3 linked regions of the Ovis aries genome follow. The protein of the gene in region 1 interacts with the protein of each later gene in a pairwise test. Links are inferred from orthologs where the notes say so. Each region holds a gene or a part of one and is shown on either strand. Other genes may lie near its edges. The genes, in order: UBXN11, EIF4E2 and TLE5.

Region 1 (10,445 bases):
GAGGCTGGGGCCTCTCCCTCCTGCCCCCGTGACAGCAGCAAGGCAGGGGAGGCAGGGCGCGAATAAGCAGGTGTCCCGACAGCTGCGGGCAATCTGGAGCTGTTGGCGTTTCCTTTGCAGGAGGGGCCAGGGTGGACCCCAACTCTACCTGGCTTCCAGAACTTCTTGGCCGTCATCCAGTCCCTCTCGCCATCCTCCGAATCCTCCTGGTCCGTGGGCTCGCCCACCCACTGCAGGCCGTAGTCACCGAGGAACCGCTGAGAGGAGAGAAGCCGGAGGTGTCAGGGGGCGCTCGCTGTCAGCTCAGCCCCTTCCCAGGGAACAGGTGGCATTCGTGCAGCCCCCCACTTCAGGCCTCGGCCGATGGGGCCGTGGGGGGATGGGGCCAGGGCTCTGGGCCACTGCCTTCTGTGGCTTTGGGAGGCCCCTTCTCCTAGAGCCTGAGGCTTCTCCTTGTAAAATGGGAGTTGTCAGATGAAGCTTGTGAGGATGACTGACGTGTCATGTCCTTAGCACAGACCCCGGCACAAGTAGGAACTCGCTGAAGGCAGCCACAGTGGCTGCGGGGAGCCGTGTGGGTCTGGCCCGACCAGGAGGAGGGGCAGCAATGCCTCGCTCTGCAGGCTCAGACGTATGCCCACCCCCGTGTGGCCTCTCCAGGGCTGGCCTCACAATCCTTTGCCGCAGGAGGGCTTCTGAGTCGTCCATACTTCCTGGTGCCGCTTCCTCATCCCTACGCCCTTCCTTCACCCACTCCCGCCGGGCCTCCGGCTCCACGGCTCACTGCAACTCCTTGCAGATGGCCACCTGCCCAGCGCCTAACCCAACGAGCACGCTTCTGTGTTCATCTCTTGCGACATGTTCTTCCTTTTCAGTTTCAGATTTCTAGCCATTTAAAAGACCTCCCACAGGCATCTCAGACTCAAAATGAACTGGCCCAGTCATGACTCCCAAACGTCATTCCCTCTCAGCCTCCTGGTCTCGGTCAGTGGTGCTGGCTTCCTCCATCACCTGATCCTCTCCGTGCCCAACCCCCAGGACCCCCAAGGCCTGTGGCACCAGTGTCAAAGCAGGCTTGGGTCCTCCATCCGCTCTGCTCCCTCTCCCCTGGGCCAAGCCACACCCTCTTCCTCCTGGATCGCCCAAACTGCACGTCCACCTACCTCCCCCGGCCCACTCCTCCACCTCAAACCTGCCTATGGTCTCCCACACTCTGGGACCCTGTTCCCCACTGCGCCTAGCTCCAGGACGTGGTCCCTGTGGCCTCTCCCCCTCCTCCCTTTCACTCCCCACAGCTCCCAGCCACAAGCCCAAGTCGACGTGGCAGGAAGAGGTGGAGGCTTTCCTCTCTTCGGCTTGGATCCTCTTTTCCCTGATAACTCGCCTCATCCTCTGTATCTCTCGCCCAACGTCACCCCTCAGAGTGGCCCAAACCCCGGCTAGTCTCTGTTGCATCACCCCTTGAACTATTTCAGCGTATTCTGTACTTGTGGCTCTTCCTACATACTTGCATATATGTCTGTCCCCTCTAGACTGTCAGCGCCCCGAGGGCAGGGCACATAGGAAAGACTTTGGATGAGTTTCCTAAATTAAGGGAGCAATGGATGCGTGAACAGCGTGAAGGTGGGAGCCCCAGTGCCCTCTGCCCTGGGTGGGCAGCCCTCAGCCCTGTGGCGGTGGCGCAGCGAAGCTGCACGGCTGCGGGCGGTCTCCCAGCAGGCTTCTCGGGGAGCAGGTGCGCACCCACAGCCCCAGGTAGGAACAGGCCTGGGTGCAAAGGGCCCTCGGCTGCAGCTGCGGCTTGGGAGTTTGCATCTGTGCTCGGATTAGGCTGGGGCTTTGGAGAGCAACTCTGTGGAGAGGAGACCTCAGGAAGAGCATCTGACAGGGCTGGTGAGGGAGCTGGGGCGTGGGGGCGGCGCTGAGGGAGCATGTGTGCCCAGGACCCTCCTTGGAGCCTAGGGTCCCTCCTGTTCAAGCCTTGCTGTATGAATGGGGGCAAGACAGCTGACACCGGGTGAGTGCCATGCTACCTCCAGAGGCAGGGAATGGCTGTGAGCGACACAACGCGCGCACACGGCCAGGCCCCGCGCCGGGTCGTGGCCGTGCCGCACCCAACAGGAGAAAATGGCCCTTCCCTCCCTCCCTCATGGTGTCTGCGGTCCCCCAGAGAAGAGGTGTGGTTCTCAGAAAGCCTAGGAGGGAGAACCTGCCCAGGTCAGAGTTCAAGGGGTCCCCTAGGGAAGGGCCCCCTGCCTCAACCTGAGACTTTGAGAGGATGAGTGAAAACTCACCAGGGGAAGGTGGGAAAAACAACATTTCAGGTGGAAGGAACGGCATTGACCAAGGTCCTGAGGCGGGAAAGAACTTGACAAAGCCACAGAGCCCGAGGCAGGCCCCCGCCGAGGCCGAGGCCAGAGGGGAGTGGTTTGAGACGAAAGTGAGGAAGCGGGGAGGGGCCCTGTGTGGGGTGTGTGCGGAGGGGACCCCGGAGGAGCAGGCTCTGACCCTGGGTCTGGGGGCAGACAGCCCTGGGCACGCCACCTCCCTCACCTCCATCTCCCCAACCTGCTGCTGCAGCTTCGCGCACACCGTCTCCAGCTCCTCCTGCCGCTGCAGGCTCACCTTGCCTTGGGGTGGGGAGACGGGAGGGGTTCCACGGCCCCTGCACCCAGGCTGCCAGGCTGCTTGCTTCTGGCTTTGACCAGAGCTTTGGCCTGAGGCTTACCTAGAGAAGCTGCCCCTCTGAAAACTCAAGGGATTCCCCTGAGAACCACCTCTTGGCCCGTTCCCCTGACCTTGAAGAGGGGACGCCCGGGCTCTCAGGAGGCCACCAACCTCCATCCCCCCACCCCCCTGCCCCAGAGCAAGGCTCCTGGGGGCGGCATTTCCTCCAGGCTTTTCTGAACTCAGGGGTGGGCTAGGGCTGTGCCCAGGGGATGCAGTCCCTCACAGGAGGGCACCGTCCTGGGTGTCACTGCTCCTCTCTGGGCTCCATTGTCCAGACCCCCCCCCCACACACACACACACAGGACTCAGCCGGATGCTCTGGAGCCCTGATGCCCAGGGGTCACCAGCCCCAGGGGAGGTGCAGGGGTGAGCTGGCCAGCCAGCAGAGAGGGCCTCTTACCCTGGTGCTTCTCAAGGGTCTCCACCATCTCTTCCAGGGCCTGTATCTTCCGAGTCTGCAGCAAGGAGGTGGGAGGGGAGCGGGCCTGGTGGCTTCCAGAGCCCATGGGAGCCCCTTCTGGATGGGAAGAGCCCGCTTGAAGCCCCTGCCCCACCCTGGGTGTAGCTACCACTTCTGTACCTCAGATGAGCCCTTTTGTGACTCCACCGAGGTGAGGGAAGGGTGTGGGGCACCCCTAGGTGCCCAGCACTCAGCAGCCACTGCTGCCACCCAAACTGAGGGCGAAGGCCTGGCTCAGAGGTGAAGACCTCGAGGCTTCGTGCTCTGGCCCCCGAGGTGGGAGGTCTGGTCAGGGAGATGGTTCGAGAACCCATCGTCTCTGGCCTACTGCAAGAGTAGCCTCACTGGCCTCCCCAGCCCGGGCCCTTCCACCCCTGGGACCAGACCCTGGCCCTCTGCCCGCTGGGGCCCCACCTTGGACAGTATCTCGTCAGTCTGGGCCTTCACCTGCCGCTCCAGATCCCGCAGTTTCCGTGTCAGGGTGGCCACCAACTCCGAGTCATTGCACACGGGGACTGCCAACCAGACAAGGTCCTTGAACCCGGCCTAGAGCTGAGGCTGATGGGGTGGGGGTCCAGGGGAGCGGGGAGAGATCCCCAAACATGGAAAGAGGCGTGCTAACAGCAGCTGCCACCTGTACTATAGCCCGCCAGGCTCCTCTGTCCGTGGGATTCTCCAGGCAAGAATACTGGAGTGGGTTACCATGCCCTTCTCCAGGGGAGCTTCCCAACCCAGGGATGAAACCAGGGTCTCCTGCATTGCAGGCAGATGCTTTACCTTTGGAGCCACCAGGGAAGCCCCTAGACAACGGGGATTGTCCTAAACACTTTTCGTGTATCAGCTTTTCTGAGGAAATGAGCTGCTTCGGGAATCTGAGGCACAGAGATTCAGTAATGCACTCAAGACGTACAAAGAAGTGGTACAACATCCACGTCACATTACAAACAGTGTCGAAAAGTTCACCCTCAGCTGAATCACATGTCTAATCTCACCCCTAATTCACAGGCAGTACAGTGGACAGAGGAGCAAGTTAACAGCATGGAGACAAGTCACAATGGGGCCCATCCTGCAGGGCAGGTGGTCTGGACTCTTCAAAAAGCATCGTTTAAAAGAGGCAGGGACTCTGCTCTGCAGAAGTACAACAGTCAGATGTATGACATGACTCTCAGGTAGAACCCAAATCAGTAAAAAAAAAAAAAAAAGGCTCTGGGAGAAATTTTGGAACACTGGGATGTCACAGTTACTGAGCTGTTCACATTCTGAGGTGTGATCACAGCCTTGTGGTTATGTATTCCCTTCCTCCTAGAAGATGCACAGGGAAGTACTTAGAGCTGAACTGTCACGATATCTGTGATTGATTTCTAAATGGTTCATCTAAAAAAATACACTTGTGTTCATCCAGACGTGTATATGGAGAGAAAGCAAGCATGGCAAAATGTCACTTATTATCAAATACAGAAGGAGGATGTGTGAGCGCCTGCTGTACTATTTCAACTGTTTTGTTGGCTGACAATGTTTTAAATTAGGGACTTCCCTGGTGGCCCCATGGTTAAGAATCTGCCATGCAATACAGGGTTCCATCCCTGGTCAGGGAACTAAGATCCCACGTGTCACAGTACAACTAAGCCCACGGGCTGCAACTACTGAGCCTGAGGTGCCAGCCACAGCCTTCCCTGGGGCTTGAACAGACCTCCTGAGCTAAGGGCTGGGCCCATGTGTGGCTGCATGCCAAGCCAAGCTCTGAACAGGTCTGGGGCGCAGGCACGTGCCCATAGTCAGCCAGGAGCAGAAGCAGCTGCCTCTGACACAGCAGGCAGGAAGAGAGGCCATGCCTCTCGCGGCCTCGCTCACTGGGGTCTTTCCTGCTGCCAGGGACTCAGACCCCTTTGGGCGTCTGCACTCACCTTGCCTGCCCACAGGGGCACCTATGCCACCATAGCAGGAAGGGACAGAGATCCTTTCTTCTGAGCCATGCGCGCCATTCAGCATGTCCACCTCATCTTCTGCAGACAGGGATGCCGGGGTCACCGCTCTGCAGCTGAGGCCCTGGGCCCTGGCCAAGATGAAGCAGCCTGTACTCTGTCCCTCACCCTCCTCCCTGCCCCCCGTGTATGGGGAGAGAAAACTTGGGGTGCTGGAGAGCAAGGATCCAACCAGAACAGGCCTCTTCTTGTTCTCCCAGCCCAGCTCCTGGGGGGCCCCAAGGGGCCAAAGCCTGCATCAGAGTGGGGGCTAGAGCGCGGTTGGGATGCAAAGGTTTGAGCCTGCAGGAGGCAAGGCAACCATATTCGGACTGGGCTTCAAGGAGAAAAGGCTGTAACGGGCTGGAAGTCACTGTCGTGGGCGGGGAGGCGGGCAGGGGTCTGGCGCCCTCACGGCCCACCCCACAGTGAGCAGAGGGATTCCAGCGTTAGTCAGGACATCCCTGTTCAGGGTGCGGAGTCTCCTAACCCGAGAGCCACGGGCAGCACTATCACAGGCCAGCCATCCTGACTGACAAGGCAGTCCACCATGCTCTTTCTCTCCATCCGCCCAAATGCAAGGGCGTGAGGAGGGCCCGTGGGCCACAGCCTACACTTACCATTTCCGTAGATTTTTAGCCCCCGCCTCCTGGGAACGGGCAGGAAGGAGAAGGAAGACAGACAAGTTAGGACCCCCTGGACTGCCATGGGGTGGGGTGGGGGGGCTTTGGCACCAGGTCCACCCCCCACCAAGCCTAAAAAAGATGCCTCGTGAGGACATCCACCCCCAAATCCCATCCTGGCCTGGGGGTGAGCCAAGGCGCAGGCGTCAGGGTATCTGACTCCTCCCGACGGAGACAGACGGGCAACAGCTGAAGGGCAGAGCCTTGGGGAGAGGACCACAAGAGTCCCCAAGCCCAGGAGCCCAGCCCCAGCTCTGCTCTGAAATGGCTGCAGGACCCCAGGCCTGCCACTTAACCTCTCTGGACCCCCTTGGCCATGACACGGATGACTCAAAGTGGGGTTCAGGAGAACAAGGAAAGGGGTAAAAAAAGATGCTTCGCAAAGGTGAAAGCGACAGAAAGATGGCTAGGATCCCCTCCACGGAGAGCCCAGCATGTAACACGGCGGGCCCAGAACGTCTGGGCCATCAGTGTCTGCAGAACCAATTCATGCACTACAAATAAACGCAAGGATGCCGAGCTACCCCACAGCCCACACCTCACTGGAGGCTGTGCTTAGACGCATGGACAGCCTCCCAGAAGAAAGGACGAGAAGGAAGAGGTGGCCAGGGAAAGATACATCACTTATTACTTCCCCAAGACGCTAGGAGTCAATCTCTGAGTTCATGTGATGGCCGGGAGGAGGCAGGGGCATGGGCACAAAGACCCCAAGAGGCTGGCTCCTTACCCAGGATTCACAGGTTCTGACTGTAGAGGCACTCTCCGGGTCTTGCCAAGGGAGGCCAAAGGTGAGCTCATATTTCTACTTCTAGATTCTAGCCGTCAGGAATCCCCTGAGAAGAAAGAAATCAGCCCTTGGGGACAGCCACTGAGGACCAGGAAGCGGCCTGAAACCTGCCCTTCCCTGCCTGCTTTTCCGAGGAGAGGGCACTGTCCAGGGAGCGGTGCCCCTCATGTCTTCCCACGGCCCCTGCAGAAGTTTGTGGAGGCAACCTGGCCTCAGGATCCCATGCTTCATGTCCACCTGCTCCGCTGGATATCTAGCTCTCTGCTCTGCTCCTGGAGGCCTCTGGCCTAGCAGTACCTGAGAAATAGGCAATGGGGTGGGATGAGGGCAGAGGCTGGCCACTCGACCAGGACTTTCCCAGACCTCCATCTCGGGCACAAGACCACCCAGGTGGCCAGTGGCTTTTGTCCATCTATCAAGGACCTGGTCCTCACAAAGTTGATCATCACAAAGCCCGGTGTCCCTCCCCACCTCCAACGTCTCAGACCCAGAGGGGGGCAGCCCCAAGGCAGGGTTCTACCAGGACACTGCACATGGCAGGGAGTCGAGAGCCCAGGCTCTGCGCAGGCTCTACCATCCGCCAGTACAGCCTGCACCTCACTTTCCTGTAGCATAAAGTGGGGATGGTAACAGTACCAGCCCGGCAGGCGTAACACACATAAATCACCTCGCCCAGGGCCACGCACTAAAGGAATTACTCAAAACTGTAAATTGTGACTGCTGATGTCATCAGCACACAGAAGGCCCTCATAAACGCTTGTTTCCCTTCCTTTCCTCTTCCTTTAGGAAGGATGAATGAACATCAGGGATGCAATTAAAGGTCACTATTCAGTGAATTAAGTGTCCAATATCTAGACATCTTAGTCAGACGCCCTCCACCAGATCCTGAATCATTCCTTAGTTCCACTTTGGAAATGTGTGGCACTGGCCTTCACCCTGCCCCTGAATTTTCCCGTGAAGCAGGGAAGGGGACCTGCATCACCAGGCGCCAGCTTCCTTGGTCCTGACTCTGGAATTTGGGATTCATGTCCCGCCCTCACTCAGAGGTGCCCTCCAAAGACCAGGCCCAGAGTCTCCTCACCCCCATCACCCAGCATCCAGCCTCCCCAATCTGCCCCCAGCCTACCTAGTTCCTGCCATCTTGCGCGGGCATCCTTGCGGTTTGTGTGGCCAAGTGTGATAGCCCCTGTGGCTCCCTGCACCAGTCTCCACACACTGCCAGAGGGATTTTCTTACACACAAAGCTGACAGGTCGCTTCCCTGCTAAATGCTCCCAATGGCTCCTTCTCATCCACAGAAAAAAAAAAAAAAAATTCAAAATTCCAGACTTCCTTGCTGGGAGCTGACCGTGGCACAGATCATAAACTCCTTACTGCAAAATTCAGACTTAAGTTGAAGAAACTAGGGAAAACCACTAGACCATTCAGGTATGACCTAAATCAAATCCTTATGATTATTCAGTGGAAGTGACAAACAGATTCAAGGGATTAGATATGATAGACAGAGTTCCTGAAAAACTATGGATGGAGGTTTGTGACACTGTACAGGACGCAATGGTCAAGACCATCCCCAAGAAAAAGAAATGCAAAAAGGCAAAATGGTTGTCTGAGCAGGTCTTACAAATAGCTGAGAAAAGACGAGAAGCTAAAGGAAAAGGAGAAAAAGAAAGATATACCCATCTGAATGCAGAGTTCCAAAGAACAGCAAGGAGAGATAAGAAAGCCTTCCTCAGTGATCAGTGCAAAGAAATAGAGGAAAACAATAGAATGGGAAAGAAAGCCTAGAGATTTCTTCAAGAAAATTAGAGATACCAAGGGAACATTTCAGGCAAAGATGGGCACAATAAAGGACAGAAATGATATGGACCTAACAGAAGCAGAAGATATTAAGAAGAGGTGGCATGAATACACAGAAGAACTGTACAAAAAATATCTACATGACCCAAATAACCATGATGATGTGATCCCTCACCTAGAGCCAGACATCCAGGAATGCAAAGCCAACTGGGCCTTAGGACAAATCACTATGAGCAAACCTAGTGGAGGTGATGGAATTCCAGTTGAGCTGTTTCAAATCCTGAAAGATGATGCTGTGAAAGTTCCAATAAGCCAGCAAATTTGGAAGTCAGCAGTGGCCACAGGGCTAGAAAAGGTCAATTTTCATTCCAATCCCAAAAAAGGCAAAGTCAAAGAATGCTCAAACTACCGCACAATTGCACTCATCTCACATGCTAGTAAAGTAATGCTCAAAATTCTCCAAGCCAGGCTTCAGCAATACTGTGAACCGTGAACTTCCAGTTGTTCAAGCTGGTTTTAGAAAAGGCAGAGGAACCAGAGATCAAATTGCCAACATCCGTTGGATCATCAAAAAAGCAAGAGAGTTCCAGAAAAACATCTATTTCTGTTTTATCGGCTACGCCAAAGCCTTTGACTGTGTGGATCACAACAAACTGTGGGAAATTCTTCAAGAGGTGGGAATACCAGACCACCTTACCTGCCTCCTGAGAAATCTGTATGCAGGCCAAGAAGCAACAGTTAGAACTGGACATGGAACAACACACTGGTTCCAAATTGGGAAAGGAGTAGTCAAGGCTGTATATTGTCACCCTGTTTATTTAACTTATATGCAGAGTACATCATGTGAAATGCCAGGCTGGATGAAGCACAAGCTGGAATCAAGATAGCCAGGAGAAATACCAATAACCTCAGAAATGCAGATGACACCACCCTTACGGCAGAAAGCAAAGAACTAAAGAGCCTCTTGATGAAAGTGAAAGATGAGAGTGAAAAAGTTGGCTTAAAACTCAACATTCAGAAAACCAAGATCATAGCCTCTGGTCCCATCAGTTCAGTTCAGTTCAGTTCAGTTCAGTTGCTCATTCATGTCCGACTCTTTGCGGCCACATGAATCGCAGCACACCAGGCCTCCCTGTCCATCACCAACTCCCGGAGTTCACTCAGACTCATGTCCATCAAGTCAGTGATGCCATCCAGCCATCTCATCCTCTGTCATCCCCTTCTCCTCCTGCCCCCAATCCCTCCCACCATCAGAGTCTTTTCCAATGAGTCAACTCTTCGCATGAGGTGGCCATAGTACTGGAGCTTCAGCTTTAGCATCATTCCTTCCAGAGAAATCCCAGGGCTGATCTCCTTCAGAATGGACTGGTTGGATCTCCTTGCAGTCCAAGGGACTCTCAAGAGTCTTCTCCAACAACACAGTTCAAAAGCATCAATTCTTTGGCACTCAGCTTTCTTCACAGTCCAACTCTCACATCCATACATGACCACAGGAAAAACCATAGCCTTGACTAGACGGAGTCCCATCACTGGTCCCATCACTTCATGGCAAATAGATGGGAAAACAATGGAAACAGTGAGAGACTTTATTTTGTGGGGCTCCAAAATCACTGCAGATGGTGACTGCAGCCATGAAATTAAAAGACACTTGCTCCTTGGAAGAAAAGCTATGACCAACCTAGATAGTATATTCAAAAGCAGAGACATTACTTTGCCAACTAAGGTCTGTCTAGTCAAGGCTATGGTTTTTCCAGTGGTCATGTATGGATGTGAGAGTTGGAGTGTGAAAAGAGCTGAGCGCCAAAGAATTGATGCTTTTGAACTGTGGTGTTGGAGAAGACTCTTGAGAGTCCCTTGGACAACCAGTCCATTCTAAAGGAGATCAGTCCAGGGTGTTCTTTGGAAGGAATAACGCTAAAGCTGAAACTCCAGTACTTTGGCCACTTCATGGGAAGAGTTGACTCATTGGAAAAGGCTCTGATGCTGAGAGGCATTAGGGGTAGGAGGAGAAGGGGACGACAGAGGATG
Region 2 (10,445 bases), about 6.4 Mb from region 1:
TTCTGCATTCCATGTTCTGAATCTAAACATTTATTTTTTGGTTCCAGTTGAAAGTTTTAAAAATGAAAGTTGCCTTAAGAGAATGAAAAAAAAAGGTTTAATACTATTTCTCAACCTGCCTATTATTTCATCTCTGTTGTGATTTGGGTTTAGAATTCTGGCTATAAGATTGTAGAGAATGGCTCTCAGATTGGTGGAGACCAAACTGTTAATAAAGCAGTGCCCCACTGGAGGATTGGGGGTGATTGGTATGCTCTGTCCCCACCACTTCTGTCAAGTCCTTATTCACAATGAGCCACAGTTTCTAGAAGGTGAGCTTCATTTCTTTGCACTGTGTTGAATTGAAGTGAAGTGAAGTCGCTCAGTCATGTCCAACTGTTTGCAACCCCATGAGCTGTAGATTACCAGGCTCCTCTGTCCATGGGATTTTCCAGGGGATCTTCCCAACCCAGGGATTGAACCTGGGTCCCCCGCATTGTAGACAGACGCTTCACCGTCTGAGCCACCAGAGAGGTCCTCCTTTGCACTGTGTTAGAGTGGGGAAAAGATTATTGCTCGTTGTATGCATAGGACCATTCACTGACCCAGATCCCTGGGTACCATTAAGCATGGCACTGGCTGAGGTGAAATGCTGAGGTGAAGTCCTGCAGATGGCTTCGTTCCTAATTTCCTTGTAACGTGAGATGTTGCCCATGTTTCTGTGCTCTAGAGGATTGAGAGGCACCGCCACTTCACACAGTCTGGGGTTTCTCCTCAGTTGCTATCCAGATCTGGGGGTGTGACCTGAATCTGTCTGCATGGTACCTGTTTTTACCTGCACATTATGGAATCTTGCTTCATGTTTATTTAGAGCCTCTTCAGCAGTTTCTTGGCAAATACCAGCTGTTTGCTTCAGACTGTTTCACATTTTTTCTTTACTTGTAAAGTGTGCACTTGACTTTCCGGTACTTTGTAGGTGTTCTCTGTGAATTGCAGAGGAATAGGAAAGTAATCAAGGGCTTCCCAATCGGGAAGCGCCACTAGGCGCTAGTGGTAAAGAACCCGCCTGCCAATGCAGGAGATGTCAGAGATGTGAATTTGATGCCTGGGGTGGGAAGATTGCCTAGAGGAAGGCATGGCAATCACGCTAGTATTCTTGTCCTGGACAATCCCATGGACAGAAGAACCTGGTGGGCTATAGTCTATAACATCCCAGAGAATTGACCAGAGAATTAACTTCAGTGAGTTAGCATGAATGCATGCTTAAAATACAGGGAAGTAATTTCTTCTTATCAAATCACTAGTGAGAAAAACAAATAGTGCGATAAATATAAATAAGCATACATTTTATAGAGAATATGTATGATTTTCTAACAGGACTGTGAAGGAGGAGCAAAGAGAAATTTTATAGCTAAGAAGAGAGACTTAAACCCTGAGTGAGGAAGCCTGCTTGGTTTTTGGACCATCTGGGCCTTAGCAAGGGCACCATGGTATGGAGTAGCCCTGCGGTTGATTCTGTCACTTAATGCTCAGTAACTGTTTCTATAGAAATAAAATGTACTTCAGTGTAGCTAATGCTGTATTTTGACAGTAAACCTCTGATCAAGAAGTGCCCAAACTTGCAGTTATAAATAAGTCATGGGCATGTACTGTAGAGCACAATGACTAGTTAATTCACAATGTTAATAATACGGTTTTTTTTTTTTTTTAAGTGATTTGGTTCAAGCTGAGGTTGTGTGGCCCTGAATATACCTCAAACCTAAGTGGTTTTTATCGTGTAAAACAAAGTCCTCCTATAGCATGTGGTGATTCTCCTGCGGCTTCCACAGGAGGATGCGTATTGACATTTTACCAACTAAGGCTCCTGGCTGAGGCTGGCATTTCTCACCTAAAGAGTTTATTCTTGTGTTGACAGTATGACACTATTCTTTTATCAAAATAGATAGTCTTCTTCCCTTCAGCATGTTGTTCTTCCCCCACAATCCCCAGAATGAACATCTGTCCTCCAAAAAGTAAAGCCTCTAGCAGAGTGTCTTCCGTGGTTATGCACTTCTCTTAAATCTCCCATTCGCTCAAAGAAAAAGAAAGTGCCTCTCTTGACTCTGCTGTGCTCTCTCTGCAGGTGGAGCAGTTCTGGAGGTTTTACAGCCACATGGTGCGTCCCGGGGACCTGACAGGCCATAGCGACTTCCATCTCTTCAAAGAAGGAATTAAACCCATGTGGGAGGTGAGAACTGAGAGCCTTAGACTGTTTTTCTGAGGAAGTTTTCTGTTTTTTGGGGTTTTTTGTTTGGTTTGGGGGTTAGTGCCAGGTGTTGGCTAAAGTCTTCTTTGAAAGCTGCGTAGCAGTTTGGTATATCTTTGGAAATGGGAACTCTAGGAAAAAGCCCCGATTCCATTGTTTGTGTGGATGGTTTTCAAAGATTGTTTTCTCACTAACATGGTGCTATAGCAACATTGAAGGATTTTTTTTTTTTTGGATTATTCTTCCCATAGACTGGTTTTGTGTGTGTGTAATATATTACCGTAGGATACATATGGTTAATGTGTGTAAAAATAAGCTTAGGGGCAGTCACCAGAGACCCAGAGCTGAGCTCTGTGATCTCTTTGCTGTAGTCCGTCTTCTCTGTTCTGATGCCAGAGCATTCTTCCAGAAGACAGACATGATCACACACACACGTGCGGTGCTGTGCTTAGTCATTAGTCACTCCATCCTGTCTGACTCTTTGCGACCCCATGGACTGTAGCCCACCGGGATCCTCTGTCCACAGGGATTCTCCAGGCAAGAATACTGGAGTGGGTAGCCATTCCTTCCTTCAGGGGATCTTCTTGACCCAGGGATCGAACCCAGGTCTCTTGCATTGCAGGCTGATTCTTTACCATCTAAGTCACCAGGGAACCCCCGCCCCTGCCACACACAAACACACCTTAATGAAAAATCTTATGCAGTTTTCTGTTGCACACATGATCTTACACCTAATGACCTTTCAGCACTTGTCACCTGTCCTCTCCAGATCCGCCCTTCAGTGTAGCTAGATCTTCCTCTTTGGGTCTCTGCCTCACAGTCAGTGTTTGCACATAGCCGTGTCCTTCCCAGTGCCCACAGAGCCCTTCACCTGGCTAGCTCCTGTGTCCCTTACAACCCAGCTGAAATGTTTTCCTTTTTCTGGTTGTTTCTGACTGTCTTGTTCTTCATAAACTTCCTGTATGTATCTCTGTTACAGGAGTACTTGTCAGACTATACTACTGTAATTAGTTTTCTTGTCTGTCTGCTTCACTAGACTGGATCTGAGTAGAGATTGTGACTTCATGTCTGTATTTGGGGACATGGTGACACTTGATAAACTTTTAGCAAATGAAGTAAGGAATGATCTGTGTTTGAAATCTGACATTATTTCGTTTTAATGTAGTTTTCAAAAAAGAGGGTTGGTTGGTTGGTTGGTTTTGGCCACACTGTGTGGCTTGCGGGATCTTCGTTCCCCGACCAGGGATTGAACCCAGACCCTGGCACTGAAAGTGCTGAGCCTTAACCACTAGACCGCCAGGGAGTTCCCAAAAGAGGATTAGTTTAAAGGGTCTGTTTGGCTGTTTTTCTTTAATGGCTGGTTGCAAGGATCCCCATCTTGTGTTTCTTTTTTCTTGTTTCTTCTGCCTGTAGTCCTATCACATTTTCCTATAGAGTTGAATAGTTGGAAAACAGCAAGACTTCTCAGTGATCGTGGATCCTTGGCCCTAATGCTACGAGACCATATGTTAACTTTTAATACATTTTTTTTTACAGGATGATGCAAATAAAAATGGCGGAAAGTGGATAATCCGACTGCGGAAGGGCTTGGCCTCCCGCTGCTGGGAGAATCTCATCTTGGCTATGCTGGGGGAGCAGTTCATGGTTGGGGAGGAGATCTGCGGGGCTGTGGTCTCTGTCCGCTTCCAGGTAAGCCGCCTCGCGGGCAGGGCTGCGTTCACGCGTGCTACCTCTGCTCTTCTCACTGCCTCACTTTCCTTTGATGAATGCTTCTGTCGTCCCTCCTGTAGGAGGACATTATTTCCATATGGAATAAGACTGCCAGCGATCAAGCCACCACGGCCCGCATACGGGATACGCTTCGGCGAGTGCTTAACCTACCTCCCAACACCATTATGGAATACAAAACCCACACCGACAGCATCAAGTATGTGTTGTGGGGGATTGAGGGGCGGGTGTGGGGTGTGTCCCTGAGTTCAGCAAAAGTAGGTCCTTAGTCGGGTCCAGAGGAATACGGTCTTCCAGGAGGCTGACTTAAAGAGAAGGGACAGACCAGTCTTCCCCCAGTGCTTCTGTCCACTCATAGCAGTTCTTGCTGGTGCGGTTCTCTGCCTGCCTGCACGCTGGGTGCTCTGGATGAGAGATCCCTTGTGCAGAGTCCTAGCTGAACCACCTGGGCTTGCTGTATTCACACAGGCTGTCTTGTCTTTCGTTCACTAACCACTGTCTTAAAATGAAAGACAAAGTAATCTTTTTCTTGCAGTTTCTAAAATAATTTCACTGAACAGTGAGGCCCTTCTCCCTGTCTGTCCCTCACTCCACTTTTGCATGTCTTTTTAACTTGTTAGCTTCAGTCTGCTCTCTTTGTCCTGGGAAACTGACTTCTTTACAGGAATGATGACTCCATTTCCTTGTGTGCAGAGCTGAAGTCGAAGTGGAAGCAGAACAGTGTGTGTGTGAGAGTAGACTCTAAGGGGAGCAGGATGCCAGAGGGGAAGTTAGCTCAGCAGTCTACCTGAGACTCAGGGGAGTGGAGCTGGACGTCCACAAGTGAGAATCACTGGCCAGGGTTGCTCCTTCAGTGACTGAAGATCATAAATAAACGCAGGGTGTCATAGACATGTTGTGAGGAGTGGCTATTAAGAGTTTTCTCACATGTGAAGGGAGAGCAAGCCAGCTAGGAGTCAGGACCTATAGGTGTAGTTCTGTCCTCTGACTCAGATACTAGTGCGTGCCTTTGAAGTACCTGCCACTCCGCTTCACCTATCCCATCGGAAAAGTGGGGGGTAAGAGTGCTTTACTGAGCAGGGTTGTTTGTGAGGCTTATTCAGTGTTTGTAATTAAAGGTCCTCAGATGGAGAATGCTCTCACAGGGTCAAGGATTATTGCTCTCATCATCATTAGTAATAACGTCATCACGCTATTATTAAACGCATTATAGTAATGAGCCCAATGATGGCGCTCAGCAGGCAGATCGTTTGGGAATCTTTTCCCATGCATTTACAGATCATGTTGTGGGTGGAACTGGCTCATACCAGCTAAGCTCCAGTTTTTAACTGGGAATGCTGCCATAGGAGGTGGTCTGTCTGAAATGGCTGGGTGTGGCTCATCACAGTCACCAGCAGTTATTAGCCATTACGACCCTGAGGACTTGCCTTGACAGCCCTGGGTCAGCACTGTTTTTCTCTTGGCAGATTTTTCTTATTCTTTGTTCTGAAATACAAGTAGTTTCTGCCCTCCAGCCAGACTCAGTCTAGGCTGGAGAGATCCACACCTGCTTTTCCTAGGACTCTTGTGTTTAGTATTCCCAAATGCCCCCCATTCCCCTACCCCACCCCAAAGCAACCTTTTCACCCGGATAGGAAAGGGAAAGAGATATTTTTCAACTCCCACCTCTCCACTGTTCTCCCTTTCAAATACCCCAAAGCAGCTCTTCCTGACTTCTGTAGCCATGTATACAGGTCCATAGAGTCTAGGCTAGCCTTGGGGCTTGGTGCCTTAGTCTGCTGCTTGCTGCTTTATCAGAGGTCTGCCTAGTCCTCCAGCCCTGCAGCCACAGGGGCCAGAAACCCCTCCTTGACACCTAGATGCCACTTTCCCCTCGCGGCTCCCTCTCTCTCCCAACATGCCAACCTTTTGCACTTCCACTAGAATGCCAGGCAGGCTGGGCTCCCAAAGGCTCCTTTTTCAAAACCTCTGGAAGCCGCGGTTGAATGTGCCATGACCCTCTCCCTCTCTGGATGGCACCGTCATTGAAGCCGGCGTCATCGGAGTCTCTTGTTCTGTTGGTGTGCTACCTGGAAGATCCTTCCGTCCCGGACAAGAGGAACTGGAAGAGCATTTTCTGTTTTAAGAACAGGCTGACACGCAGCAGCTACAACAACAGCTGAGATCACTTAATAAATGGTGCTAAACTAGCTTGTCTCATGCTCTTGCTCTTTACGGTGCATCAGAGAAGTGGCCTTTCAGACTGACTGTCACCATAGTAAGGAATGGCACAGACTGCTCCGTGGAGGGCCGTCCGGGGAATGCAGCCTCATTTCCATAAGCCCATGGTATCACATCACACGGTATTTTGTTCCATCTCCACTGAGGTCCAACACTGAGGTGACATCTCTCAGAAAGAGACCCCGGTTTTTTTGGTATTTAAGTTTCCACCAGTCATGCGGAGGACAGGAACAAAGTGATTTCTGATTTAGAATTCGGCTCAAAAGTCCATCAGGTTGGAAAGGGGGATCCTTGACCTTCGCTTGGCTGACTTCATTTGTCTTACTTCAAAGACATCTCTTGCTTGGAGGTAAAGCCTTGCTTCCATCTGTTTGCCGCTGTGTGTGTAGAGCTTCCTTGCTTTGTGTAAGTGGGCTTTCCTCACTGGCCAAAGCCTCCCAACCGCAAGCTCTCTGCCAGCCTTTCCCCTTCTGCTCTCCCCTTGGAGCCAGCTCATCTTCCTCTCTGAGCTCACCCTGCAGACACTTTGCAAAGTTCTAGCCCTTCCCTTTCCCCAGTCTCTGGGGTTGTCGTGCATCAGGACCTGGGGGTGGGGACGTGTCTTTGTCCTGTGTGACTTTGCCCCTTAGGACATCTGACCACAGCATGGCCCAGCCCCTCACGTGTTTTTGAGGCTCGGCATGTGTGTGCTGCAACTTGGCCTTCAGGCCCCTAACCTGCATGGAGAAATCTAGCAAAGCTTAATGTGAATTTAGGTTTTCTTTAGAGCTTCCACCCAAACCATAAATAAACCACATATGCCCACACTAGGCCAGGTGGCCTGATAGCATCTGTGAAGGTGGCTGTGGGCATAGCGTGGAGTTCTCCAAAGTGGCTGTGCTGCTCCAGTTTGGCAGCGACACCCTGAGCTGTGCCATCCTGACTGCCCATCTGTCTCCATGAGGCCTGGGATCCCACAGACCACACATCAGGACTAGCACACAGGCTGAGCATCCTGGAGGTGGCTCTGTCATTGCTGCTTTTTGTGATCACTTACCCCAGATTACTTAAAGTTCCTGAAAGATGGAGATGGTTGATGTGTGGAAATACATATTTTCTATGTTTTCAGTGTTTGTCAAAGAATGACGTTCTATGGCCCTTTCCCTCTTGCCTTCCGCTGTGATGTCCACATGTATTGATCTTAATTTCAGCTAATATAGCTGGTCCAGAGGTTGAGCCTGATGCCACCTACCAGTGTAAGAGTTGATTGGAAAGCATCGAACTGACCTTGACCCCTCTGAGCCTTGCCACACCTGAATGGAAGCCAGGACTGTTCTGCTTTGTCCTTCCCCTGTGGCTGTCCCACAGGCGTGGCTGTGTTTGAGCCAAGGAACAGCAACTGCTTGGACTTGAGAATTGAAGGGATGTGAGGAGGAAAGAGCCAACTCTTACTCTCTCCCACGTACTCTGGAGATGAGGGGTCCTGGAAATGGTGAGGAGAGTGTTCTAGGGGTACTCAGCTGTCTCAGGCAGGTGTCCCTCCCCCTTGCTGTGTTGCCGTCCAGTCTCCAAAGTCCTATTTCAAGTGTCTCGTTCCCCAGCCTGCCTTCATCACACTGCTTGTTGCCTGTTCCTGCTGCACTCCTTGCTAGCACCCCTTGCTGAGCTAAGAGGTGACCGCTGCCACTGCGCAAGGGGCATGGTGAGCCGCTTTGCTGCAGAGGGAACACTGCTTGCTGCCTCACACCCTTGTTTACTGCTAACAGTCAGTCCCTTAAGGGTGCACAGGCCCACTGAGAAGTGGGAAAATGGTTAAATCAAGTCTTAGGTGTGTGGCTGAGGTTTCAGAGATTTGGGTCCTTGCAGGTGGACAGCCTCATAACACAGCCAGACTTGCACCCCAGAATCATGGGACCACCAGGAGAAGAGTTGGGTCACAGGGCCGTATAAAACAGGAGTGTCTTTTGTGAGGAAATTCCTCTTTGGAATAGTCTGTTGAGTCCTTTTGTGCCTCTGGCCTGGGATGGGAGGGGGAAGACAGGGCCTGTTGCACTCGGTGGCCACAGTGTTGGGAAGACTGACCAGGCCCCTCTGCACAGACAGCTGAGGGTAGGTGACTTGTCTTTATTCATTTATTTTAGAGGAGAAATGGGTCAAATCATGGGGACTCCACCACATCTAGATTTCATTGTATTTAAATATTGAACTTGGTAGGCAGGGACCAACCATCCCTTCTCTAGCCACAGCTAAATCACAGCTGGGGGCGCTGCGTCACCCAGCATCATTGCTGGCCAGGCTTTGCTTTTGGGAAATGTCCCTCTACACTGATGTGCAAGGTAAAGCCCAGACCTGCAGGAGACCCAACTCATTTGTGAGTGTGAGAGCCAGCTGAGGGCAAGGCTGTGAAGTGAGGCTGGGCCAGAGTGGGGGCAAATGCAGAGTTAAGGGATGAGATTTCTGCCCTTAGAATTTGCTCTCTGGTAAGCCAGCTGGTAAAAAGTGATCTTGAAAGGACTCCTTGTTACCCTGTCATTTGAATCTGTTTAGAATTCCCTATAGGTTGTATTAGGATAATAGGGGGAGAAAAATGTTTTTAGGAAACTCAGTTTACATGACAGATATAACATTTAACTTGTTCTATGTTTACCTTTCAAAGAAACAAGTTTTAAAATTACATATATGCCTGGGATGCCAGGTGAAAAATAGCCAGAACATTCGCACCTAGTTTTAGGCAGTTGGTTTACTTAGTCAAGCATTGAGAACCAGTGATTGTACCAATGACTGTGAGCAGTGATTTTATCTCCACTGAATCCACCTGAGGAAATTTCTTTGCCCAGATTCTTCATGTTGAAGTTTTCCATGTAAAGAATATACTGCTGAAGAAAATAGGAGGGCAGTTTAATGCTAAACTGGATTAGAGGGGAACTCTGAAATCCCTATTTCTGTAAGTTCTTAACATAGAGAACTTCCGTTTGGACTAGTGTAGGCCTTTCTGGAAACTAAAGGATAAATGAGGTGAACCTTCAACACAGCCATGTAGTTTCTTGTTGATACCTGACTTGCTTAAATATAACTTAAACCTCACTCTTAGAGTGAGAAGGGGGTTTCCTGGGTCATTGCCTGGGTGTCAGATTTTGCTTTCTTTTTATCTTCATTTGGAGTGAAGAGTGAAATGACCTCCTGCCATCACTGATAGACTCTCAAAGTTCATCGTGTTACCATCTCTCCAGAAAGAGCTGTGAAACGTGTCTTTCCGTGGAAATTGAGTTTGTGAATTGACAAGACGCATGCTTACTGGATGTTCTAAACGTTTTTCTTCCATTCAGTGAACATACATGTATCCGGATTTTGACGATATTCTGAAGAAACAATTAACTGTGGATCAGTCTCTTGTTCTGAGAGCTACATCATTAACTTATAAGTGTTGCTCTTCAAAAGGGAAATAACTAATGAAACTAATGATTGCATGGAAGAATGAATTTACTGGGCCAGGTCTTTGTTTCATCCCTTCCTATTTGAAAAAAGAAGAAAAGCTATCAGTAGGAGACCTAGTGATGAAGTGCAGTTTAGTGGCCATAATATTAAACCTGTAGTGAGCAAATTGGAGAAGGCGATGGCATCCCATTCCAGTACTCTTGCTTGGAAAATCCCATGGACGGAAAAGCCTGGTAGGCTACAGTCCATGGGGTCGCGAAGAGTCAGACACGACTGAGCGACTTCACTTTTCACTTTTCATTTTCATGCATTGGAGAAGGAAATGGCAACCCACTCCAGTATTCTTGCCTGGAGAATCCCAGGGACAGGGGACCCTGGTGGGCTGTCGTCTATGGGGTCACACAGAGTCAGACACGACTGAAGTGACTTAGCAGTAGCAGCAGCAATGAGCAAATAATTGAGCATATTAAACCCTATATGTTGTTACCATGAATATTTCACCCCTTTAAGCTGCAAATGGAATAATTGATGGTAAGGAAGGGATTTAGATTCAAAGGCACCAAATTACCCATTTTATGTATAATTCCCAGGGAAGTTTCCTGACACTTTGTCCCTAAGTGGCTGAAAAATGGCTCAGGCAAAAAGGAAGGACGTCAGCTCCTCTCAGAGAACTTGAGGTGGGTCAGGGCTTCGGAGGCAGGAGGGAGCCTCTTTCTCCTGGTGTCTGGCCTGCAGCCACCAAGGCTTGTTCTCTGTGGAACGTCATCCAAAAGACTCTGCCCTTCAGTCACATTCCTTATCCCTTCCTAGCTCCAGTTTCTTAATTTAGGTAATAAGCATTAAAGTTGCGCTGAGCATC
Region 3 (9,826 bases), on another chromosome or scaffold:
CACCTCCCCCAGCAACTCAAATTCACTACTTCGGACTCCTGCGATCGCATCAAAGATGAGTTTCAACTGCTGCAGGCTCAGTACCACAGGTGAGCTGGGGGCTGGTGGTCCCAACTCGGAAGAAGGTGGAGCCCCTTGCTCCAGACTGAGGCCTGGAGCGGAGATTGTGGCCTCTGCTTTATATACAGACTCCAAAAAATAGAGGCCATGAAGGTCTTAGTGGCAGGCGCTGTCTTTACCACTTCAGGGATATGACATTCATTTAGTCTTTAAAACAGTCCCATTTTTGTAGATGAGAAATCTGAGGCATCAAAAATGTCAATAATTTGCCCAGACTCAGTTGTCTGGTTTTAGAGCCCCTCTCCCCACCTCCACACCAATGGATAAAAGACCCCCAGCATCTAGAATTGGTGATTGATTCTCCACCTCCCCAAAGCCCTCCCCCCCCCACCCCCGCCCCAGATCTGTAGCCTGGTTTTGGAGAAAGGGTTCCTGCCACCCAGCAGGAAGGTGATTCTCCCTCCAGAATTGAATCTGACATTGCTAAAGGGTTTTGCCATGTGCCTGATCTAAAGAGAAAGGAACTATTTATTTTTCATTTTACATTTGGAAAAACTTAAGCCCAGAGATTTTTTGAGGTTGCACAGCAAGAAAGTAGCAAGATTTAGATCCCATCTCTGGACTGAAGGAAGCAGATCCTCAAGGCTGTGCTGCAGAGTGGTCTTTGCCTGGGAATCAGATGGGGAGTCTATATACCAGTGGGGTTTGGGGCCTCCCTGGATCTATTTACCCACACAGAAGTATTTTTTGAAGGATCCTGGGATTTCTGCAAGAAGAAATTGGAAAGAGTGATATATTTGTTCTTTAGAGGGTACTGCCCATTCTCCCCATTTGCTGAAGAGTGAACATACTTCCTTTTGTTTCGTCTTCCCTGCTGTCCTATCATTGTGCCCATTTCAAAGATCAGGAATCGGAGGTGTAGTTGATTGAAGGTTCTGATCCTGTGATATGGAGGGTTTAGGGGCTTTGCCCAACAGATCTGGCCTCTCTGAGCCTCTCCAGGGGGTCCCCTCTCCCTGCCTGGCCCATGCACACATCACAGTGACCACTGGAGCCGATCCAGTTCTAGAGATGTTGCCAGAGCGCTGTGTGACCTCAGATAGGTCACACCCCATCTCTGAACTTCACAGTCTCTGTTCGCTGGGCTTAGGCTTCCTGGTGTACACTGAGGGCTTCCACTGTGTTGGGGCTGTCCCAGTATCTACCAGTCCCTCAGGAAAGGCCAGAAATGCCGAATTTGGAATGAAATTGCACATGGACATTTTTAAAGAGAATTAGACTAAGTGTGGCTCACCTGTGAACCCAGGTATACAAGTCATGGTCAGTCTGGCAGAACGAAACTCTAAGTCCCCTGGGGTGACCACAAGATGAATGAAATATTTATTGGGTACTTACTGTATGCCAACATGAAGAGCATTTCTGGTCTTAATTCTTCTTGTCCTCACCACCCCACCCCGGAGGCTGGAGCTCAGCAGACTCAGCGACCAAGGCCCGGAGAGGTAGAGGCGTTTGCCCAGAGTCACACAGCATCAGAGTGGCGGGACTGAACTTTGGACCCAGTTTATCTAGTTGAGTTTGTGGCCTCAGCTCTCTACCTGTCACCCTGACACCCCCTTGGGGGCCTTTGAGAAATATCCAAAGCTCATCCTTGCTGGGGCAACCCAAGAGAGGAGGGGGATCACCAGCTCTATTATCCAGTGATAGAAATTTATACCCCTCCCCCAACCATGGAAATCAGAGGTCACAAGATGGGCTGGGGGCCTTTGAAGATTCCTTACTGAATTCAGTCCAGAGCCCTGCCAGTGGGCTCTGGGCCCTTGTAACCTCTCAGCAATGTCTGTTTATTCCTTCTTTGCTGGAGAGTTTTGCCCAGTGGGTGGGAGTATGGCCTTTGAAGCCAGCTTCCTGGCTGTGTGACCTTGAGCCTGTTCACTCAACCTCTCTGAGCATCCATTGCATCATTTTTATGAAGGAGACTGACGTTAACAGCCCTGACCTCGTTGGATTTCATGATAGGAAAAAGTTTCTTTGAATCCCTGTCTGACCTACAGTCAGGATATTTGCTCTGACTTCTGTTTTTATTATTTTCATTGCTTTCTCCACCCCCACATCTTCAAGGTGGGTTTCATCATCCCCAGTTTCCAGCTAAGGCACCTTTGGGTCCCCTTCCCCCCTCTTCTCTCTGACCCCCACCAAAGTTTGGGGCTCCCTTGCACAATGAGGGGGACATCATCCCAGCCCTGGCCCTCCCCCTCTTCTTCTTCAGTCTGAAACTCGAATGTGACAAGCTGGCCAGCGAGAAGTCAGAAATGCAGCGTCATTACGTGATGGTAAGCCAGCCCGGGGGTCTGGTGGGCAGGGCCAGAGGACCCCAGGTCCCCCTCCAGCACTGGCAGCTGCTGTCTGAACCCTGGCCATCTCCTCTGGGATGTGCGAGAAGTCAGGGTCTGCTCTCCGCTCAGCCAGCCCCTGGCCGGGCTGAGTTAATCTTGTTGGCCTGGCTGCCGGCCCAGGCAGTGGCCGAGGTGCCAAGCCACCGGGTTGCGGCCTGGGCCTGCCAGGTCCCTGGCTGTCCTTGGCAGCGGAGGAGCCAGTGGCTGTGAAAGCCAGGAACTGGGGTTAGAGGGGGGTTGTTGATCCCTCCCCTCCCCACCCCCACTGTCTAAGCATCCCAGGCTTAACCCCTCCTAGTCCAAGCTTGGAGGAGGACTCCTGGAGGGCCCCCTTCCCCAGGCAGGAGGCTGACACTCTTTTGAGGTGGGTGGGTGGAAGGGAGGGAGGGGGTGACACTTCCTTCTTGGGCCTGACATTGGAGACCCTGCCCCTGCACACTGCTGGAATCACTTGCTTCGCTTCATATGCACCAGGTGGTGATTTCTGCATCAAAACCCCTGCCTAAGCCCAGCCCAGAGCCCACTTCCCCCAGGCCATGGGGGAGGCAGAGCTGGACAAGGAACCTCTGGATTCAGAGGGATGGGGCTGGGGCACTCCAGAAGGGTATGCTCCTGTTTGGAGAAAGACTGCATGGAGAAGGAGGCACTGCAGCTGGGGTCCTGATGAATGGATAGGAGCCAGCTGGGCAGAGAAGGGGAGACCACACAAACCTGGCTTTCTCCCCCTATCTTCCCTGGGGGGTGATGGGGAGTCATAGGAAGGTTTAGAGCAGGGGAGGTGCAGGGTCAGATGTGGGGCATGAGGAGGGGGGGCGCTGGCCCCAAAGGCAGACCCAACAGGATTTGTTTATCCTCGATTATTTATACCCAGGAAGACAAACTTCCCTGGAGTCCGGGGCCACCCGCAGACAAGACACATAAAGATAAAAGATTAGGAGCCTTGGAGTGTGTGTGTGCCTGTGTGTGTGTGCGTGTGTGTGTGCGTGCGTGCGTGCGTGTGTGTGTGTGTGTGTGTGTGTGTAGGGGTTGAGGTCATTATTCCAGAAATGGGGCATTCAGGGCCCCACTGGCGTCCCTAGCATCCTCACCAGGCACCTGGGCCCCAGCTCCAGGTGTGGGTGTCTCCCCGCTTCCGACTCCATCTCTCTCGCCTGCCCTCCCCTCCTCCTACCTCTCTCTTTCTCCCCCTCTTTGTCTCTCTCTGTCACTTCCCCTGTGTCTTTTGTCTCTGGAACCTCACATCCTTCACCCACCCCCATTTCTGTCTCCCCCCTACACAGTACTACGAGATGTCCTATGGCTTGAACATCGAGATGCACAAGCAGGTATGCCCCCTTCCCCCCTCCTCCGCCCCCCTGCCCCGCCCAGGCAGGTAGGAACCCGCCACCCCTTGGCTGAGAACCAAGACTGCCTTGGTATCCTGTTACCTCCGGAGCCCCCCCACTTCTGTTCTTTCTCAGGCCTCCCTGGGAGGTTGCTCTCCCTGAGGGGGAGGGCAGAGGCTTTCCCAGGACCTGCCACCCTCACTCCATTGTCTCTCTTTTGTGACAGCCCTGGGGGAGGGGGGTGATATGACCTGCCAACCCACCCTCCAAACCCTATCTCAGGTGTGTTAGAGAATTCTGATGCCAGCTGCCCCGACCTCTTCCTCCCTCCCTCTCACGGAATGCTCACTACCTGTGAGGCATCGGGCATCTTTCCAGGGCCACCCAGACCCCAAGCCACTGGGCCTGGATTTCGCTCTGTCCTGGGCTCTTAGCTACCCTCAGAGACTCAGCCCCCGGGGCCACTTTTGCTGCTGATCGGGTGCCCATGGGCCTGATGAGTCGATATGATCCTGGGACTTGCCGGCCTCCTCTTGGATTAGACAGAACCGCTGGGCTTTCCAGGGCTGGTCTGCACCTGCCCTGGCTGGCTGCTGCCCAGGGCTGAAGTGTCTGTCTGTTCCAGGCTGAAATCGTCAAGAGGCTAAATGGGATATGTGCCCAGGTCCTGCCCTACCTGTCCCAAGAGGTGAGCAGAGCCCCCGGGGGTCTGCTGGGAGGAGATAGACCCTGAACTTCCCTCAGCCCCACCCCTCTGTAGGCATCTGTGTGCCCCAGGGCACACGACTGCCTTCTCTGGACCTCCCAGCCATCAGCCAGTCTGTGCAGGAGAAACCCCAGGGGTGAAGGGAAGGACCTCACCCTGCTGTGGAATTCCCAGCCTGCGTGAGTCATTGCACCGTAAAAACGTCAGCTACATTGCCGAACACTGCACCAAGAATTTTGTTTCTGCCTTTCACCTTCCTGAGATTCGTCTGCCTGGTCCTGCTGGCCGCTGGGTGTACAGGAAGGCACTCTGCACACAGAGGCAGACATACAGACAGACACAGATGCAATAGACAAATGCACAGATGCAAAACATAGACACACAAGCACATGGACACGCAAAGGTCTATGCACCCAAGTCTTCCTCTTCTGTTTCCTGGGATTCTCGGTGTGAAGCCCACTGTACGCGCACACACACGTCTGGGTCACGTAAGACCCCTCTGCTCTCTGCCAGATTTACCGCTGATAATTCATCATTTCCTTTTTAAACTCTGCTGGTACCTTAGGGTCCCACAGGGGATGATGCCCAGGGACAATTCCAGGAGGACACCATGGAAGCCCCAGAGAAGGAGATTCTTAGGGCCCTGAAAATCTAGCTTTATGGTTTCCTTTCATAGCAGGGGCTCCCTGGTAGCCAAGGCACAAAAGGAGCTTGGCAGATTTTAGCATCTGATAGCCAAAGAGACAAATTTTCAGGGAAAGCTGGGGATTGCCCCGAACCTCGACTCGTACCCCAGCTGTGCCAGAATTCACTGGGCCTTCACGGCTGCGGAGGAAGAGGAGCTTGGGTTAGCAGACCTCAGATCTCTTCCATTAGCAGTCCTGGTCTGAGCTCTTAACAAGCTTTGACTTCTTTGCATGTGGCATTGGTCATAGTCCACGGTTTCCTAAGATTCTGGTACCAAGCCCTTTGGGCCTTCTGTGCATCTCTATGTATCCCATTTTCCAGATGAAGAGACTGAGGCTTTGTGAAAGGAATCACCTGGAGAGAGGGGAGTTTCCTGAGGGGAGAGATGGGAAATCGAGGAGAGGGAGGGCTCTAACAGTGCAGATGGGAGTGGGACTTCTGGGCTCTGTGCCACAAATCCCAACAAGACGGGGTGAATCATCTGTCACCTCTCCATCCCCCACCCCCCACTTTCCAGCACCAGCAGCAGGTCTTGGGAGCCATCGAGAGGGCTAAGCAGGTCACTGCTCCTGAGCTGAACTCCATCATCCGAGTACGTCTGGGGTCTTGTGGGGGGATGGGGGAGGGACAGGTGGGCTCAAGGGGGCTAATGCTCCCCTGTTTGTGTACTGCAGCAGCAGCTCCAAGCCCACCAGCTGTCTCAGCTGCAGGCTCTGGCCCTGCCCCTGACCCCCCTGCCTGTGGGGCTGCAGCCCCCTTCTCTGCCGGCGGTCAGCGCGGGCACCGGCCTCCTCTCTCTGTCAGCGCTGGGCTCCCAGGCCCACCTCTCCAAGGAAGACAAAAACGGGCATGACGGTGACACCCACCAGGAGGACGACGGCGAGAAGTCGGATTAGTGGGCGGCTGGGATGGGGAGGGTGGGGGGTGGGACAGAGGGGAGACAAACACTGAGAGAGAGGAAGGTTCAGCACGCGAGACACAGTGATAGCTTGGGATTGGCCAAACTCTGGTAGTATTTATGTTAGCTGCCTGCTGGGGCTGTCGCCCTGCTTCTGTGCCCTACCCTGGCTTGGCTCCTACCCCTAATTCCTGGCCTCCTCCTCCCCTGTAGACTGAATGGGTCAGTACCCACTCATACCACAGATGAGGCAAGCTGAGGCCTGGAGACATAGGGGAGGCCAGGTCCTAAGGGAGCAAAACCTCAAGAGGTCCAACACCCCCTGCATTTCCCTGATTCACACACATGTAACTGACAGTCTGCCCGCCAGGAGGGGGCCCCCACCCCAGCCTCCCATTCTGGCACTGCATGCAAACACAATGCTAGCTGCCCCTCCCCACCCTGGGCACCCCGCGTCTCCCCCTCCCACCCACTCACCCTCCATGAGTTCCTGATGCCCGCACCCACAAAAGAAAGAGGGGCCACCGACAGCAAGCTTAGCCCCAGGGCAACAGTGGGGCCAGCAACTCAGAACTCCCTTTCTCCCCTTCCCGAATAAAGATGAGGGTACTCAAGTTGTCTTGGTTTTTATTCCCCCCCCCTTTTCCAGTATACTAGCTTGTCTTTTAAGAAAAGGGATATTAAAAAAAGGAAAAAGACAAAAATGTTAAAAAAAAAAAAAAAAGCAACACCCACACCTGTGTCTGTATATAGCCTTTTAGACTGTCAGCTTTTGTTGTGTTCAGTCGTTTGATCTCTACGGAGAGAAGTGAAAATGCTGTATCGAGGGTGGGCTTAGCTGTGCCTTTCAAATAAAGACGTGAGAAGGTTGGTTGCTGTGTTTCTGCCTCTGTGTTGTGGGCTGCCCCGCGGTGACTCCCTTCCCAGGGGAGGAGGGGGGCCTCCTTCAAGCCTCAGGCCCCTCCTCTGTTACGGGACTGGATATGAACAGTCCTGAGTCCAGCTTGTAAATATAATTTAGCTCCTGAACGCAGTCCCTAGCCCAGAGATGGTCAGATGGAGGCTCGAGGTCACACAGTAAAGCCTAGGTGTTTGAGGTCTGGTCAGCTGTTTTGACAAGTAGGCAAAAGGACTCAGAAAAGCTAAGGGGTCACTGAGCATAAGTGGTGGGACTGGTTTCTGAGCCTCAGGCCAGATGGTTCCTAAGTGAAATTCTTTACCCTTAAGAGACAGATGTTAAGACCATGAGCAGTCACTGTGCGTGCATTACAGATGGCTTCTTCCAGATCAGAGAACTGATTCCTGGCTGGACCTCAACTCTCCAAGGACCACTTGGAGCCTGCCTTCACGCCCCTGCATCCAAGCTGGACCACCTGGGGAGGGGGAGCCAGGAGGAAAGGTGGTTCCCTAGGGCACCTGGCACTTCAGTCAAGAGAACATCAGTCTCCCCACCCAGGATATAGGGCTGAGGGCAAGGAGCGGGTTGGAGAGTGGGAGCTGTCATTTTGACTTTGCAGTATCTTCCATCTTGCAAGATCTTTGCCAGGGCTTCTTGGCATAGAACTCTCACTCTCAAGGGACTAGGAGCATGAGGAGACCAGGGAATTCTCAACTATCTGCCTGATCCAGTGGCTTTCCAGGTGGCCAAGGGCACAGGGAATGAGGCAAGGGGTAGTGATGGACAGCCAACTTCAGAGAAAATGTCTTCTGTCCCTCAAGAGAAAAAGAAGGTGTAGAGGGGACAGGGGGACCCTCCTTCTGCACCCCACTGCCTCCCCCACTACAGAGAAATCACATGCAAAAATCAATGTAATAAGACCACTCCCTGGTTAACATGTATCCTCATATGTTAATGCAGGTACTTCCCCAGTGATCCAGTGGTTAAGACTCTGTGTTCCCAATGCAGGGGGCCAGGGTTCAATCCTTGGTCGGGAAGCTAGATCCCACATGCTGCAACAACAATAGCAAAAACCCCCAAAACTCATCTCTGTGACTTGGGGAATATAAACTGTTAACATCTGCCTCCAAAAGACTGCTTGGCACCCAGCAATGCCCCTGGACTTCAATGTTAGATCCATGCAACAGGCATGCCACCAGAGTGTTCAGAGCAGCTGTAACAAGTCATTATTGCCCCAAACTGGAAACTACCAGCTGTCCATCAAAGGGCAGAAGGGTAATTTGTGATACCAGCTGCCTATGGAATACTATGCAGTCAGAAAAAGAACCAGAAACCACCTCACTCAACACCTGCAGCACACACACAGAACACTGAAAGAGCCAAGTACAAAAGAGAAGATGCTGTGTGATTCCATTTATATAGAGAACAACAGGTCCAAGTGACCTATATAGTTTCACATGTCATGGGGTTACCCAAGCAGACTTCTACCCATGATGGAAGCTTGGGGGCTGATTACGTGAGTGTATTCATTTTGTGATAAGTGATCAAATGATAATCTGGGCACTCTTCTGTGTGTTCTACTTCACAATTTTTATCTTTTTGCCATGTGGCAGGCAGGATCTAGTTCCCAGGCAGGGGGATCGAATCCCTGCATTAGGAGTATGGAGTCTTAACCACTGGACTGCCAGGTAAATCCCGGCAGGGGGGGTATCTTTTTTTTTTTTTTTCTCAAAATTTTAAAAAATGTTTCAAAGACTAGATTATCTTTGGCCTCTGTGGCCCTAGCAGAGACATTACTTTGCCGACTAAGGTCCGTCTAGTCAAGGCTATGTATGGTTTTTCCTGTGGTCATGTATGGATGTGAGAGTTGGACTGTGAAGAAGGCTGAGTGCCGAAGAATTGGTGCTTTTCAACTGTAGTGTTGGAGAAGACTCTTGCGAGTCCCTTGGACTGCAAGGAGATCCAACCAGTCCATTCTGAAGGAGATCAGCCCTGGGATTTCTTTGGAAGGAATGATTGCTAAAGCTGAAACTCCAGTACTTTGGCCACCTCATGGGAAGAGTTGACTCATTGGAAAAGACTCTGATGCTGGGAGGGATTGGGGGCAGGAGGAGAAGGGGACAACCGAGGATGAGATGGCTGGATGGCATCACGGACTCAATGGACGTGAGTCTGAGTGAACTGCGAGAGATGGTGATGGACAGGGAGGCCTGGTGTGCTGCGATTCATGGGGTCGCAAAGAATCGGACACGACTGAGCGACTGAACTGAACTCTGTGGCCCTAGGAATAAATTCTAGGACCAGGACACCCTGAGGATCTGCTACCCACCATTCTAATTATTCCTCCTCAGCAGGCTAGAGCCAGGTTGAAACATTTTGCCTTTCCTTGAATAGAGACCATTGCACATGCTGTTCTGGAACAGTGACTTCCCCCCCCCCTCCCTTGGGTTCTAATCCCCCCAAATCCCAAGAAATCATTTTTCTGACCTTTCTTCACAAAGCAAGTTTCCCTGGTACTATGAAAATTTCAACTGGGATGGGAACAACAGCTATTACTAATACATCTCATAATGGTTCTGGACACAGAGTCTCCAGCCTGGGCTTAAATCCTGACTCTTCCTCTCACAGCAAGGTGATTCGAGCAAGCAAGCAGCTTCACACTGCTCTGGGTCTTGGTTTTCCCTATCTGTGAAATGGGTATAATCACACCGTTGTCATGAAGATCCTATCATGGACCCCGGCATTCATTCATTCTTCCTTTAAAAAACAAAAACATACTGAGCTCCTACTCTGAGCCCTGGGGACAGCAGGGAAGGAAAAGGAAAGACTTAAGTCCCCACCCTTGTGGCCAGATAGACA

Evidence for each region.
Region 2: the proteins of UBXN11 (region 1) and EIF4E2 interact in binary tests that used the Homo sapiens proteins (3 or more experiments, as listed by UniProt). The two-hybrid records come from large-scale screens. The link is inferred for Ovis aries from reciprocal best matches to the Homo sapiens genes UBXN11 and EIF4E2.
Region 3: the proteins of UBXN11 (region 1) and TLE5 interact in binary tests that used the Homo sapiens proteins (3 or more experiments, as listed by UniProt). The two-hybrid records come from large-scale screens. The link is inferred for Ovis aries from reciprocal best matches to the Homo sapiens genes UBXN11 and TLE5.

What each region holds. Positions count from the first base shown.
Region 1 is NC_056055.1:240,544,088-240,554,532, reverse strand, and holds part of UBXN11 (UBX domain-containing protein 11), read right to left. Parts: intron 7,905-10,445; 5' UTR 7,748-7,904; intron 6,668-7,747; 5' UTR 6,633-6,667; coding exon 6,562-6,632; intron 5,801-6,561; coding exon 5,772-5,800; exon of another isoform or gene 5,194-5,771; coding exon 5,095-5,193; intron 5,089-5,094; exon of another isoform or gene 4,119-5,088; coding exon of another isoform or gene 3,968-4,118; intron 3,749-3,967; exon of another isoform or gene 3,706-3,748; coding exon 3,605-3,705; intron 3,248-3,604; coding exon of another isoform or gene 3,186-3,247; coding exon 3,131-3,185; intron 2,631-3,130; coding exon 2,554-2,630; intron 258-2,553; coding exon 149-257; intron 1-148. UniProt on the Homo sapiens protein: May be involved in the reorganization of actin cytoskeleton mediated by RND1, RND2 and RND3. Promotes RHOA activation mediated by GNA12 and GNA13.
Region 2 is NC_056055.1:234,172,037-234,182,481, forward strand, and holds part of EIF4E2 (eukaryotic translation initiation factor 4E type 2), read left to right. Parts: intron 1-2,101; coding exon 2,102-2,206; intron 2,207-3,760; coding exon 3,761-3,913; intron 3,914-4,014; coding exon 4,015-4,151; intron 4,152-5,875; coding exon of another isoform or gene 5,876-5,948; exon of another isoform or gene 5,949-6,141; intron 6,142-10,176; coding exon of another isoform or gene 10,177-10,189; exon of another isoform or gene 10,190-10,264; intron 10,265-10,445. UniProt on the Homo sapiens protein: Recognizes and binds the 7-methylguanosine-containing mRNA cap during an early step in the initiation. Acts as a repressor of translation initiation.
Region 3 is NC_056058.1:18,526,714-18,536,539, forward strand, and holds the end of TLE5 (TLE family member 5), read left to right. Parts: coding exon 1-89; intron 90-2,326; coding exon 2,327-2,390; intron 2,391-3,733; coding exon 3,734-3,778; intron 3,779-4,403; coding exon 4,404-4,466; intron 4,467-5,688; coding exon 5,689-5,763; intron 5,764-5,845; coding exon 5,846-6,067; 3' UTR 6,068-6,940; downstream 6,941-9,826. UniProt on the Homo sapiens protein: Transcriptional corepressor. Acts as a dominant repressor towards other family members. Inhibits NF-kappa-B-regulated gene expression. May be required for the initiation and maintenance of the differentiated state.